2 linked regions of the Bombyx mori genome follow. The protein of the gene in region 2 interacts with the protein of the main gene of each other region in a biochemical or structural test. Links are inferred from orthologs where the notes say so. Each region holds a gene or a part of one and is shown on either strand. Other genes may lie near its edges.

Evidence for each region.
Region 1: the proteins of ubiquitin-conjugating enzyme E2 C (region 2) and RING-box protein 2 form a complex in vitro, tested with the Homo sapiens proteins (4 studies listed by BioGRID). The link is inferred for Bombyx mori from reciprocal best matches to the Homo sapiens genes UBE2C and RNF7.

The regions. Positions count from the first base shown.
Region 1 is NC_085111.1:9,082,249-9,088,770, reverse strand, and holds the start of RING-box protein 2, read right to left. Parts: upstream 3,458-6,522; 5' UTR 2,729-3,457; coding exon 2,575-2,728; intron 1,957-2,574; exon of another isoform or gene 721-1,956; coding exon of another isoform or gene 1-720. Other genes in the region: facilitated trehalose transporter Tret1, read left to right, coding at 1-720; uncharacterized protein LOC101738136, read right to left, coding at 4,416-4,552, 4,748-4,938. UniProt on the Homo sapiens protein: Catalytic component of multiple cullin-5-RING E3 ubiquitin-protein ligase complexes (ECS complexes), which mediate the ubiquitination and subsequent proteasomal degradation of target proteins.
Region 2 is NC_085126.1:12,141,547-12,147,807, forward strand, and holds ubiquitin-conjugating enzyme E2 C, read right to left. Parts: upstream 3,953-6,261; 5' UTR 3,708-3,952; coding exon 3,607-3,707; intron 1,694-3,606; coding exon 1,264-1,693; 3' UTR 923-1,263; downstream 1-922. UniProt on the Homo sapiens protein: Accepts ubiquitin from the E1 complex and catalyzes its covalent attachment to other proteins. In vitro catalyzes 'Lys-11'- and 'Lys-48'-linked polyubiquitination.

The DNA of each region.
Region 1 (6,522 bases), on a different chromosome or scaffold from region 2:
ATACGAGATCTTTTTAGCATCAAATATACGAAGGCGATACTTATTTCTCTCGGTTTGATGGCTTTCCAACAGCTTTCTGGTATAAATGCCGTCATATTCTATACTGTGACAATATTTCAAATGTCAGGAAGTTCTGTGGACGAAAACCTTTCAGCAATTATTGTAGGAATCGTTAATTTCGCTTCCACTTTTGTCGCTACGGCGCTAATAGATAGAGCTGGACGAAAATTGTTATTATATATCTCTTCAGTGACCATGACTATTACTTTAATTATTTTGGGTACATTCTTCTATGTTAAATACCAAGCAAAATTAGATGTATCTGATTTGGGTTGGTTACCACTGACTACCGTTATGATATACTTGTTAGGATTCTCACTGGCTTTCGGGCCAATACCATGGTTAATGATGGGTGAAATTTTGCCAGCAAAGATTCGAGGTAGCGCTGCTTCAATCTGCACGGCATTTAACTGGCTATGTACATTTATTGTAACAAAAACATTTCAGAACATTGTTGATGCGATCAGCGCGGCGGGCACGTTTTGGCTCTTCGGGAGTATTTGTTTTGTAGGCTTATTCTTTGTTATTGTTTGCGTACCAGAAACGAGAGGCAAAAGCCTTGATCAAATTGAAAATAAAATAACCGGTAGAGAAGAGAAACCCAGAACTCGTCGACTAAGCTCGATAGCAAACATTAAGCCTTTGCCAAACGGATGCTAAGAAGATGTTTTAAGCATTTATTAATTGAATAAAATTAGCTTTAAAGTAGCAATTAATAACTTTTACTATATTCTTTTCACAATTTTTAGGCAGTAAAAACGTTGTGTAGAAAAAGATTTCTATAAAAAAATCTTATATCTAATAGTACAATGGTATCATACTTAGTTGTTGTAACTGGTTCTATTGGTAGGTAGACTTTACGAGGATTATAATTTATGACATGAATGCCAAAGTATTTTAGTAGTTTTTATTGGGAAATTATTACATTTAGTAACTATTTATAATGATTTTATTTTGTAGTTTGTATCATACACTACTTCATGTAAAATACTAAGCTTTTTGGCAATCTTATAACAGAGTTTAATCTATGCCGTAAAGTTAAAATCATAAGTTACTTATTTAGTTTGGTGGTAGGACCTCTTGTGAGTCCGCACGGGTAGGTACCACCGCCCCGCCTATTTCTGCCGTGAAGCAGTAATGCGTTTCGGTTTGAAGGGTGGGGCAGCCGTTGTGACTATACTGAGACCTTAGAACTATATCTCAAGGTGTGTGGCGCATCTACGTTGTAGATGTCTATGGGCTCCAGTAACCACTTAACATCAGGTGGGCTGTGAGCTCGTCCACACATCTAAGCAATAAAAAAAAAAAAAAATAGTTACTTATATTAGTTGTAATAAAAAATGTTTTTTTTAAACTTTAATATGAAAATAAATGGTAAGATCTAAAGAATAAATTTCACTTAATGGAAAGAGAGTCACATCCTTAAATTATAATTCGAACCATTACAATTCACAGAATCATTACATTGAAGGCACTGTACTAATCTCTTTTAATCGAATTGTGCCTATGAATAGAGTTATATGTACCTGCAATTTCAAATTTTAGAACTAACTAAGAAAACAATAGTTAACTATTATTTTTACGAAACAAGGGGGGCCAGACCACATGGAATCTATATTGTACAGCTTTCAAACATATTGATTTGTCGGTCCAATGACTATTATTATTTATTTGTTTAATTTGACAAGCACACATATTGATATGAATTGTAAGTGTAACTATGTTTCCATTCATGAAAGTTAGTAAACAGTTCAAGTTAAGAGGAGACATATTGGTAATGTTCAAAAGTATATAGCCCACCCAGAACCAGGACATGACCCAGGACCTAGGTGTTATTATGTTATATTATGTTGTATTAAGAGAGAATTATTAGAATTAAAGAAAGTATGATCAATCGATTCTGCTTTTACTACGGCAAAATAATATTTATGTTTAAGTCAGTATTCTTTACAATTCTTTAACAGATTGATGGATTAATAAACAGGATTATTTCAATGTAATATAATGAAATTTAAACTAAAATGCCTTAATTATGGCCTTAAATTTAAAGCGTAATTAAATAGTTTGAGAATAATTCACACGCACACAACATTTTTAATTTTGAAAATCCAAATATATAACATTGATAGAACAATATTACTACTGTTTTGTTTAATATATTAGTAATTATATTCTATCCCTAAATAATGTAATCATTTTAAAAAAAGTAATGACTCTCAATGCTAATTGGCAACATTCATCTTAACTTAAAATAAAAATAAAATACTTTTAAGAAAACATACTTAGTGCTCAAAATCTAGTTCTAATTATGATCGGCACAGCACACTAAATATTACTTGTAATATGATTATAGTAGGGTAGTAATATTTTCTTTAATAGTTCTATATATTCTAATCTGGAAAATAACTGTCATCTTGTCCAAGCAATTAATTTGTTAAATAAATTTGACTCACTATCACTTTGATGAATATCTATGAATTGATTCATAAACAACATAAATAATTAAAAACTTACCCATTACTTGCACGCGGCAAATAGCGCAAGTATCACATTCAACATCCCAACTCCACATTGCAACAGCATTCCATTTTTTCAATGTGAACATTTTATCGGATTTTGGACCATCGTTATCCCCACGGTCCATACCATCACAGTCTTCACCGGACATAATGTATGCGTTTTAATGTTTATGGTAAATATTTAAGGTAACTATTGAAAATTAAATGCGTACATTTACAATGCTCGACTTGTTTACTATTTTTAAAAACATAATCAGGTGAGATTTTGAAGTGGCAGTGACAGCTTTGACAGACTGACTTTTCTAATTGTTGCGGTAAAAGGAAATAGCCTATACTGATAAAGATTTAATTTAAAGAGTAATCTTCGACGTAATGTTCGTATAAACTCTGAATTACATCCACGCAATTAATGAATGAATAATCATCCCATGAGTTTTTTAATCCGGGGAATATTGGCTTAAAGTTAACAAAAAGAAACTAGATGGCGTTGGTGGGTTAATTCATAACATTAGTGTAACAGCAACCGTAAACGTATTTTACAGATGTACCCTGTGCGTCAGTTGAACTGCATGACATATTGGACTGTTTAGGACTGACTCGGAGGTACAGTACCTAGCGGCCTTGATTGTTGCGCCGAGGGTTATGTGTTAGATTCCCACATCGAGCAAACATTGCGTGATGAACAGTTTGTTTGCTCTTTGTTTGGGTGTTTATTATCTATATACATATGTATATATTTGAACGTATATAAGTATGTTAGTAGTCTCTGGTACCCGTAACACAGGGAATCCTAAATTGGGGCCGGATGACCGTGCTTAATTAAAAATAAAAAGGTTTAAAAAGCGTTAGATCAAATTTGATAAATAAATAGTCTAAATCGCAATACCTTCTTTTTTTTGCGCGTCGTAGGCAGAACGCCAGCCAGATGGTCAGATCTGGTTGGTGGTAGTCTATATCATGCGGTCCATGCCACCCATGATCAAACACTGTGGATGAAAATCACATGTGGTCGCGATCCTCAGCGGTGAGAGAACGATGAAAAAGAAGATGGAAATTAATTCCAATCGATTAATGTCTCATTTCGCTTCATATAATTTTTCATATTACGACACAATGTTATAAGATAACATTAATACAATACTTGGTTTACGATACGATAGCTTTACGATAGTTTGGCCTCAAATTTGAAAACGACCCAGATCGTCTTGTGGAATTTCACCCTGCCTATTTCTCTAACGAAGTAATAAACATAATAAGTGCATTATCTATGACGAAGTAGTAGGTAATGCCTTCCGGTTTCATGAATGGGGCCATTGATTTAGTGATGTGTTTGTACTTCGGTTCCGGTGGTAGATTCTGCGAAGCATAGTTCTTGCTACGGTCAGTGTTAGCACACTCAAGTTGAGCCCCGCGAGCTCACCTACCAAATAACTCAGAACTAATAACATATATAGAATAAAAAATAATACAAAGGCTATTTGTTACAGTAGATTTTATTTATAAAAAAACACGAAAATTGCTTAAAGTCTACGTTTATACTTAATGTATTATATATGGAAACTATATTTTGTATAAAATAAGTACAATAAACCCTGTTATATCTGGTTTTTATAATATGTATATATTATAATATTTAATGTTTTATACTCAATAGGCTCCGCCACGCTTTTTGTACAATCTTATTGTAAATTGGAAATCTTAAACTACACGTGTATGAAACAAAATACGATATTCAAAATGAACGATAACTTATAGATTTGTTTTGTGTTAAAAGTAGGTTGGTACTATTACTATCGGTAGGAAAAAATAACGCTTCTCCAAATTTAATACCCGCAGTTAGAATATTGCGAGATACAAAGAAGTCAGAATAATTGCGAGGCTGGCTCCTAGACTTGATGCTCCACTAAAACACCCCAGGTCTTCAATTTGGACTTGATATCTAATGTTGTATGGGAATCTGCATACCGAAGCATCTAGAATTAAAAAACAGTCCATTAGGAATGACCATTTCTTTATGTGAAATTTGTTAAAAAAGGTGTAAGAGGAAAAAACATATAATTTGAATGAATCTCTTATTAGTCAATACTTACTAGGTACTCAATTAAAAAGTGACATAACTATTATTAATATTAGTAAAATACCCATATAATTTTGGATGTAAATCATACCTGTGCAAATCGCGCTTGTGGCATCAACACCACCAGTTTCTGATTGTACGGAAATGTGTAGTGGTGGACATGATCCTATGGTCCAAAAACTGTCGCAAGCATTCTGCAGCCTTATTTCAATATTTCCGGTGGAAGCCAAATTCTCACAAGTTATTGCGCTTGGATCAAGTCCTACTATTGTTGTGTTGCGTCTGGAAGTCAAAGAATTTTTAAAGGCATCTCGAATAATACCATCCTTTTCCCGTGGCAACAGCGTTTTTAGACTATTTCTAAAGCGATCGTCTACTGGCATTTACTGGTGCAAGAACGAATTTGTGAGCCCGCACGATTTGGTACCACAATTACATTTACAAGTTTAATATTTACTTTTCTTTACGTCACAAAACTTTGTAAACGTAAGCAGAGTCTAGATAGGGTAGAATGGAAGGAATTGGCAAGCACTGTCCGTTGTTTTTTTAATGCTGAGTTTATCGTAATTAACCTGTGAACTGCGTTGTGTATCGTGATCTGTAAACTCTAAATACCAAGACCATTATTATTTTTTTGCCCGGATTCCTGCATTTACCCCAGAAGAGTGTCCAGGAGCGTCATAATATTGTCGGCCGCTCCTTTGAAATTTCTACTTAACTGTGAAGTTTAAGGGTATTACGATGGTCTCTCATAAGCTCTTAAAACCGGGTGGAGCATGAACTTGTTTGTCCATGTTTTGCAATTAAGAAAAAATTATAAAAATCTAAGGAATACTTAACTACGTTCACGGAATAACTGAATTAAAATATACATAGATACGTATGTTTATATGAGTTCTAAATTATATGTACTTAGTCTGGCCATAAATACTGTTACAATTAAAAATAAAAAAATATTACATTTGAATTTGGAATCTGTCGTTTTTATATGATTGCAATGCAATACATTGTACAATATTTTGCGATATTAAAATGGAGTGGGGTGATAAAGAGAACCGAATCGCTGTGATTGCATTACACATTACACAAAGTAGGTATGGAGCCAAATGCAATTTTTAAAACTCTCCATACGCTTGGTATTAGTAAAATGTTTGTGTACCGGGCTATTAATAGGTGCAATGAGATCTCCTCTGTTTGTGACAGAAAAAGATCTGGCCCTCCACGTAGTGTTCGTTCAAAAAAGGTGGTTAAAGCAGTAAGGGAAAGAATTCGAAGAAACCCTGTCCGAAAGCAAAAGATTTTATCTTGGGAGATGAAGATAGCACTAGAACCATGTCGCGTATTTTAAAAGATGACTTAGGATTTGCAGCCCATAAGAGACGTACTGGTCATTTCTTGACTGATAATTTAAAAGAGAATAGGGAGGTAAAATCGAAACAACTACTGAAGCGGTACGCAAAGGGAGGTCATAGAAAAATTTTGTTTACGGATGAGAAAATTTTTACAATTAAGCAACATTTTAACAAACAAAATGACCGTATTTATGCTCAAAGCTCTAAGAAAGCTTCCCATTTAGTCGACAGAGTGCTACGTGGGTACTATCCGACTTCAGTGATTGTTTGGTGGGGTATTAGCTATGAAGGAGTGACGGAGCCATACTTTTGTGAAAAAGGTATCAAAACATCGGCACAAGTGTATCAAGATACCATTCTTGAGAAGGTAATGAAGCCCCTTAACAACATCATGTTCAATAATCAAGAATGGTGTTTCCAGCAAGACTCGGCGCCAGGTCATAAAGCTCGGTCTACGCAGTCTTGGTTGGAAACGAACGTTTCGGACTTCATCAGAGCTGAAGACTGGCCGTCG
Region 2 (6,261 bases):
CGACCGATTTCGGTCATGGCGACCACTTCGAATCCTATCCGGCGATTTGGCGCTCATGCGCTCGAAGGTGGCAAAACTCCTTGCGCATTGAGGGCACGTAAGCACGCCGTTCTTATAATTATATAGATTATGGCAGCAGGAGGGCGGGCCTTCAATTGGTCGCGTTTGTAATCAAGGTCAGCTTTGCGCTGATCCTCGAACTCGCGTACTTACTTGGCTGTTCACCATCCTGCGCCATTCTGGCCAAGCACTCCCATTGAGAGGGCTCTATTTTACATCTCTTCATGTGTCGTTTCACGACATCCTTGTACCGGAGGAGCTGTCCGCCATGCTTTCCCTTGCTGTCCTGTAGTTCAAAGATGCGCTTCGCCACTCTTTCCTCCGCCATGCGTGATACATGACCGCACCACCGAAGCTGTCGACGCATTAAATATGCCTCAATGCCATCAACATTGGCACGTCGCAAGACGATCACCTGATTTTCATAATAGCACTAAGGCATTTAAGTCCACCTATCTAAGCAATAAAAAAAAGACTCGATAGCCAGTGGTGTGAACGTTTTCTCAAATGCAGACTACGCACGCGGCGACCAAAGTGGGGTTCTTCTGGTCGTGGGGACAGATTACCGGAGGCGTAAAAATGAAAACGATAGAAGCCCGTTAGTTGTAGCAGAACTGATGAAATATATTATGTTAGCAGAGGCGTACGATTTTTTTCCTTTTTATTATTTAACCTTGTTAATGTTTAGGTGGGTGAACATGGTCACTGAGTGATGCTAACTGATTATCAGAGCTCATAGATATCGTTACGTTTATGCCGCCACCCACCAAGACATCAAGTTGTTATTTTAAATTTCCCGACCCTTCAACAAATAAAGCATAAAACATGTGATAGGATGGAAGGAGAAATGAAAGCATGTCTCAATTGCACTAAATAATTATAATTGTCTGTGATCACAATGTACATCAAGTTTCAGATGAACGACAGCTGGGGCTGATTATTTGTCACAAAAAAAATAATTGAAAAATTGAATGTTACATGCAAGTCTAGTTGTGATATTAATTTATTTCAACCGTAGTGTATTTTACAAATTTTAATATAAATTACAAAGTATGGTCTAAAATTAAGTTTTTTTGCAAGACTGCAGTGTCTAAGCAGACAAAACCTGAGCCCAACCAACCCTCAACAGTCACAATCTGAAATATCCACGACACAAAAATATTACAACGAAAAATAAAACACACTTATAATCTCTAAAACAGACTATGAGTCTTTATGTTTATTGTAAAATTCATCTAAATATTTTTTATAGGCAGCTTGGTTCGGCCATAGATATGATGCTTGCTGGTTTAAAGGGCTTTGTGTATTTGGTTCTGCTAAAAGACTTTGGATTGACAACAATACTGTACGTACATCATATAAAGCCGTCCACTTATCTTTTAAAATATCTAAACATATTAAACCACACGTGTCAACATTTGGATGAAAACACGGAGTCATAAATTTGACAACAGGTGGTGCGTACGGGTATGAATTTGGAAATTCAAGTGATAATTTGTATTTGTGGCCTGCGTATACAGTTTCTAAAGGTCCATTGATGGTCCCGATCCATTTGAAGAGGTTTTCACTTTCAGGGAATGCTGATATTCCTTTATCACTGCACCGCATTAGCTCCATTAGCTCTTTCTGGAGTCTATTAAAAAGAAATATAAAATGAGTTGAATTATGCAAATTATAACACAAAAGTAATGGCATATAGTGTTTTTTTTAAGTGCATTAATCTAATAGCAGGTTTATTAATTAAGTAGTGAGTCTTTGAAACATTTCTAATGAAATGTTAGTTGACCAGTAATGACATAAAATTTCTGTTTTTGCAGAATTATTGTTTGGTAAATAGGATGCTGCCATATGTGGAATGACTGATGTTGTAGTGTGAGTGTAAATTTTATATCACTTGCAATATTTTCTGGGTGGAGGTATATTCATTCACATGGTAGTAATTGTTCTAGAGAAGTAATTCTATATAAACAATTTACATTTAAGAATCTCACAAATTAGAAAGCGTCTAAAGGTCTAAGGCTCTTGATGCTATTTAATGTAGAAAAGGTGACTAATTAACAAACCTTTTTAAAAAGTTTACTTATTCCTACCTACTGAACATTAATTATTGTAAAATTATCGCTTTAACCAATGAGAATGCCTATACCTGCTAAAAACTGTGCTTTTAAATTTACCACATTATGTAAAGTGTAATAGTTTTATTTGGTTTTTACTTTTTCGGCGCTTTTGTATTACATGCACTAAATGATCATTTACATAATGTGCTTAAAACAGCCCAAACCAACAATAATGCAAGTGAACAGAATAATCGAGACTTTTTCGTGGGAAAAAAACCGTTAGACACAAATCGCTACTTCGATACTAAGGACCAAAATATATTGTATTTAGACATGTGTAAGTAATGCGAGTGATATTACTCGGGTAATATTACTCTACGATGTAATGCAACATCACACATTACGCGAAGGAAACAAACATCACACTATCACCCAACATGTTTCTTTCTTTGTCGTGTAATACACGAACGGAACCGAGCGAGCGAGACAGACCGATCGACGCAAAATAAATGAGCAAGCGACACGGAATTATTCCTAGTGATTTTGAACCATATGTCCTGGCCGCTAGGTACATTTTTATACCTATGGTACGTCTGAATTTTAATATAGGTATTTGTGTTTATATTTTTCATGCGGCCAGCCGGTAGCTCCCCGCAAGTACTTACTTAATTTTTTATTCGCAACTTTTGTAAAATCGCTAGTCGCTCGTAATTGTTTAGTAATATTTCATATTAATTTTTGTGTTTGATTTGAATTACTTAAGCACTTGTTTGAAGATAGTTTTATTATTTGTTTTAATGCGTGTTTAATAAGTGAAAGAAATAACGGCGTTTAGACGTACGTTCATTTAGATGAAAGTACAGTCCTCCTTGGATTTTTGAGGATATTTTTGAGGATATCGCACCGAAACAATGCATCTACTGCTCTCGTATATTAACATTATTGTCGAGCTCAATTTGCAGTCTAAGTCGCCATATGAAATCCGTTCATCCCACAATAAATTATATTAAGTAAAAAATAAAATTATTATATTATTAAGTAAGTCAATCTGTCAAGTAATATAACAGTGTATTACAATACAAAGTTCATACTTTGTATTGTAATACACTATTGTAATGACACACCCGAATCATTACCTAAGTGATGTGTTTATACACATCACTTAGGTAATGATTGATGAAAACATTACACATCACTCTTAACATTACTCGGTGCGTTCAATAGATACTGTGACGACGAATACATTGTATCTATACACCCGAATCATTACCTAAGTGATGTGTTTATACACATCACTTTGAACGCACCGAGTAATGTTAAGAGTGATGTGTAATGTTTTCGAGTAATATCACCTATCTGTAAAAGTGATGTCATATCACATTACATTGGGAAGTGATGTTTTGCGCAAGTCTAATTGTATTGTATGTTGTCTACGTGGGTGTTTGCCGTGGTATTACGAAAAAGTTGTGGTAAAAATAATAAAACTCACCGTTTGCTCACAGCATGATTGTCTTTTAGTTTAATCGTGTCTTCACTCTGCTTAGCTGGGTTCGAAGACGACGCGTAATGTGGATTGATGTTTTGAGCCATAATATTTTAAGGAAATCAAATGAACACTTTCTTAAAATAGCAAGGGACACCAATTTTTCAGTTAATCGTCGTCAACTTCCTGTTGAATTTGAAATAGCTACGATTTTATTGGTAATCTCGTTATTTGACAGTGCAATGTAATGGCGGCCTTTGTTTGATTGACGTATTAAAAAGCGCCATCTACACGGTCAATTGAAAAAATAATTTAATGCTGATTTACACTAATCTCGAATATGTTAGAAGGTGGTCTGAAATAAACCATAATAAATATGTTAAATAGGTCAAATCAAGATAAATAACTGAACATTATAGTTTTAAACATAAGATTATCCGAATATACTATAACATGTGGATAAAATAATTTCATGTCACAAATAATTTCAAAATGATAATCGCTTTCAAAATTTAGATTTCATTTACCCGCTTTTTTAAATTTGGCCTAGTACTTTTTATGTGACGATGAAATTTTAAACGTATTAATTTTTGCCTAATACAATGTGCCCGATAAAGTTAAAAAATTGTTTGCGCATTTTAAATGTAATAGTACCTGTATGCTATTTTAAATAGGATTACTAGAATAAAAGAGGCGATTAGGTAGGTATTGATTTTTTTAGTTCTGTTTGTTTGTTCTGTTTAAGTTTAGATAAATATGTCCAAATGAAAAATTAAGATTAGCCAGAGTAATATTCGATTAGTTTACTAGACAATTTCATTTTGAAACATTTTATTATTTCATCTTATTAATTACATATCTCATTTCATTTTATCATTACCTAGTCTTCGTAATTACTGGTACGTAGAGAGTGAGCCTGCACGGATAGCTACCTGCTATTTGAGTCATGATAATCCCTAGCTATTTAAGTCATGATGTGTCTTGGTTTGAAATGGGATAGCAACTCTACAACACAATTGTAAGTATTCCAAGCTGGGTAGAGTGGCATTCACGTCGGGTGCTTATGGGTTTTGAGTGAGCTGTGAATTCCTCCAACTATAAAGTACAAAAATATCTGTAGTGGAGGCGGTAATCCGAACAACATGGCGCGTTTTTGTTTATTCATATTTTGGTGGGAAAGTGAGTTTCTACTTCAAAGTGAAGGAGCTACTCAAAGCCCATGGCTACAGCTAGACTTAAATTATACTAACTTCAGTTAATGGTTAGCTTGAGCGACGACTAACCAACGAATAAATGTAAACTTATAATTAGATTAGTATTTATTAACTATATTATTATACAAATCTCTATATCTTTCGCTTTCTATGTTTAAAAATTAACACATTGTCTTAATATAAATAATGGCAATTAACTGTAGATGCTCGTTGAGCTCGTCGAAGAGTTCGGCATGAGATTTAGGTGGCCTATAACTTCAGGCCGCGGCTGTGCCGAGTTTCAAGCATAATATTCTCAGGGGTTTGCGAATCTGATCGTGTAGTAGACACTGGCGACTGTCACCACCTTGCTGTTACGCTCGTCTTCATTGCAGGCTAAAATATAATAATTGCATGAGACTTTAAAGACTTCTTACGAAGATCGGGAAGACCGCGAGTTTAACTAGAACAGCATGTTACCGTAATTAGGGTAATTACTCAACTAGTCAACAAATTCTTTGCAAAGAACTTTGAAACTCATTGGTTGCCTAGAAATCGCAGTCTAATCCACTTCGATAAAGCGGCAGGACATGAGAACCCTCTCATCGTGGCCGCCGGTAACTACATTCCCGATCCTGCGGAAAGAATGGAAAGCAGTCGACGTCGCCCCAAACACGTCATTTCGGATTTTTTTTTTTTTTTTTTTTATTGCCCTTGTAGGCAGACGAGCATACGGCCCACCTGATGGTGAGTGGTTACCGTCGCCCATGGACTTCAGCAATGCCAGAGGCAGAGCCAAGCCGCTGCCTACCGATCCACTAACGGTGCTTTTAGGTACCTCAAGCATCGGTAATTGTCGCACCCTTCGCTTGCGACGAAGGGCTCAACGAGTAAATGAACCCTCAGACATAGCCCACTGAGTTTCTTACCAGATCTTTTCAATGGGTCGCGTTTCCGATCCGGTGGCAGATTCTGCGAAGCACGGCTCTTGCTAGGGTTCTTGTTAGCAACGTCGTCTGGTTTGAGCCCCGTGAGCTCACCTACTAGTTAAGGTTACGCTGAAATAGCCTCTCAAGGCTCTCAGCTAGGTAGGAAAAAAAGCAGTTTATCTTCGCCATCGACGGGATGTCGTGAAATACATTTTGATAATTTCTACTGCCATCGATTGCCTGGTGGTGTAGCGTTACTGTTGTGGCGATTTCGTCTTAACAATTTTCTTAAATAGTGAGTAAATTTTTTTAAGGGGTTGAGTATTGCTATTGGCCCAAAGGCCTTTCAACCTCATCAGAATAGGTGGCTGAGCACGGCCTCAACAAAGAGGGGTAAAGTTTAAAGAGAAAGAGTCAGAAGGTGACCTAGCATCTCAAAGACAGATGCGAATGCATGTAAAACAGTATCGAAATCGCGATCGGCTGAAATGAACCGGCCAGAAACTCAGCGGGCTGATGCTATGCGTAAATAATCGCGT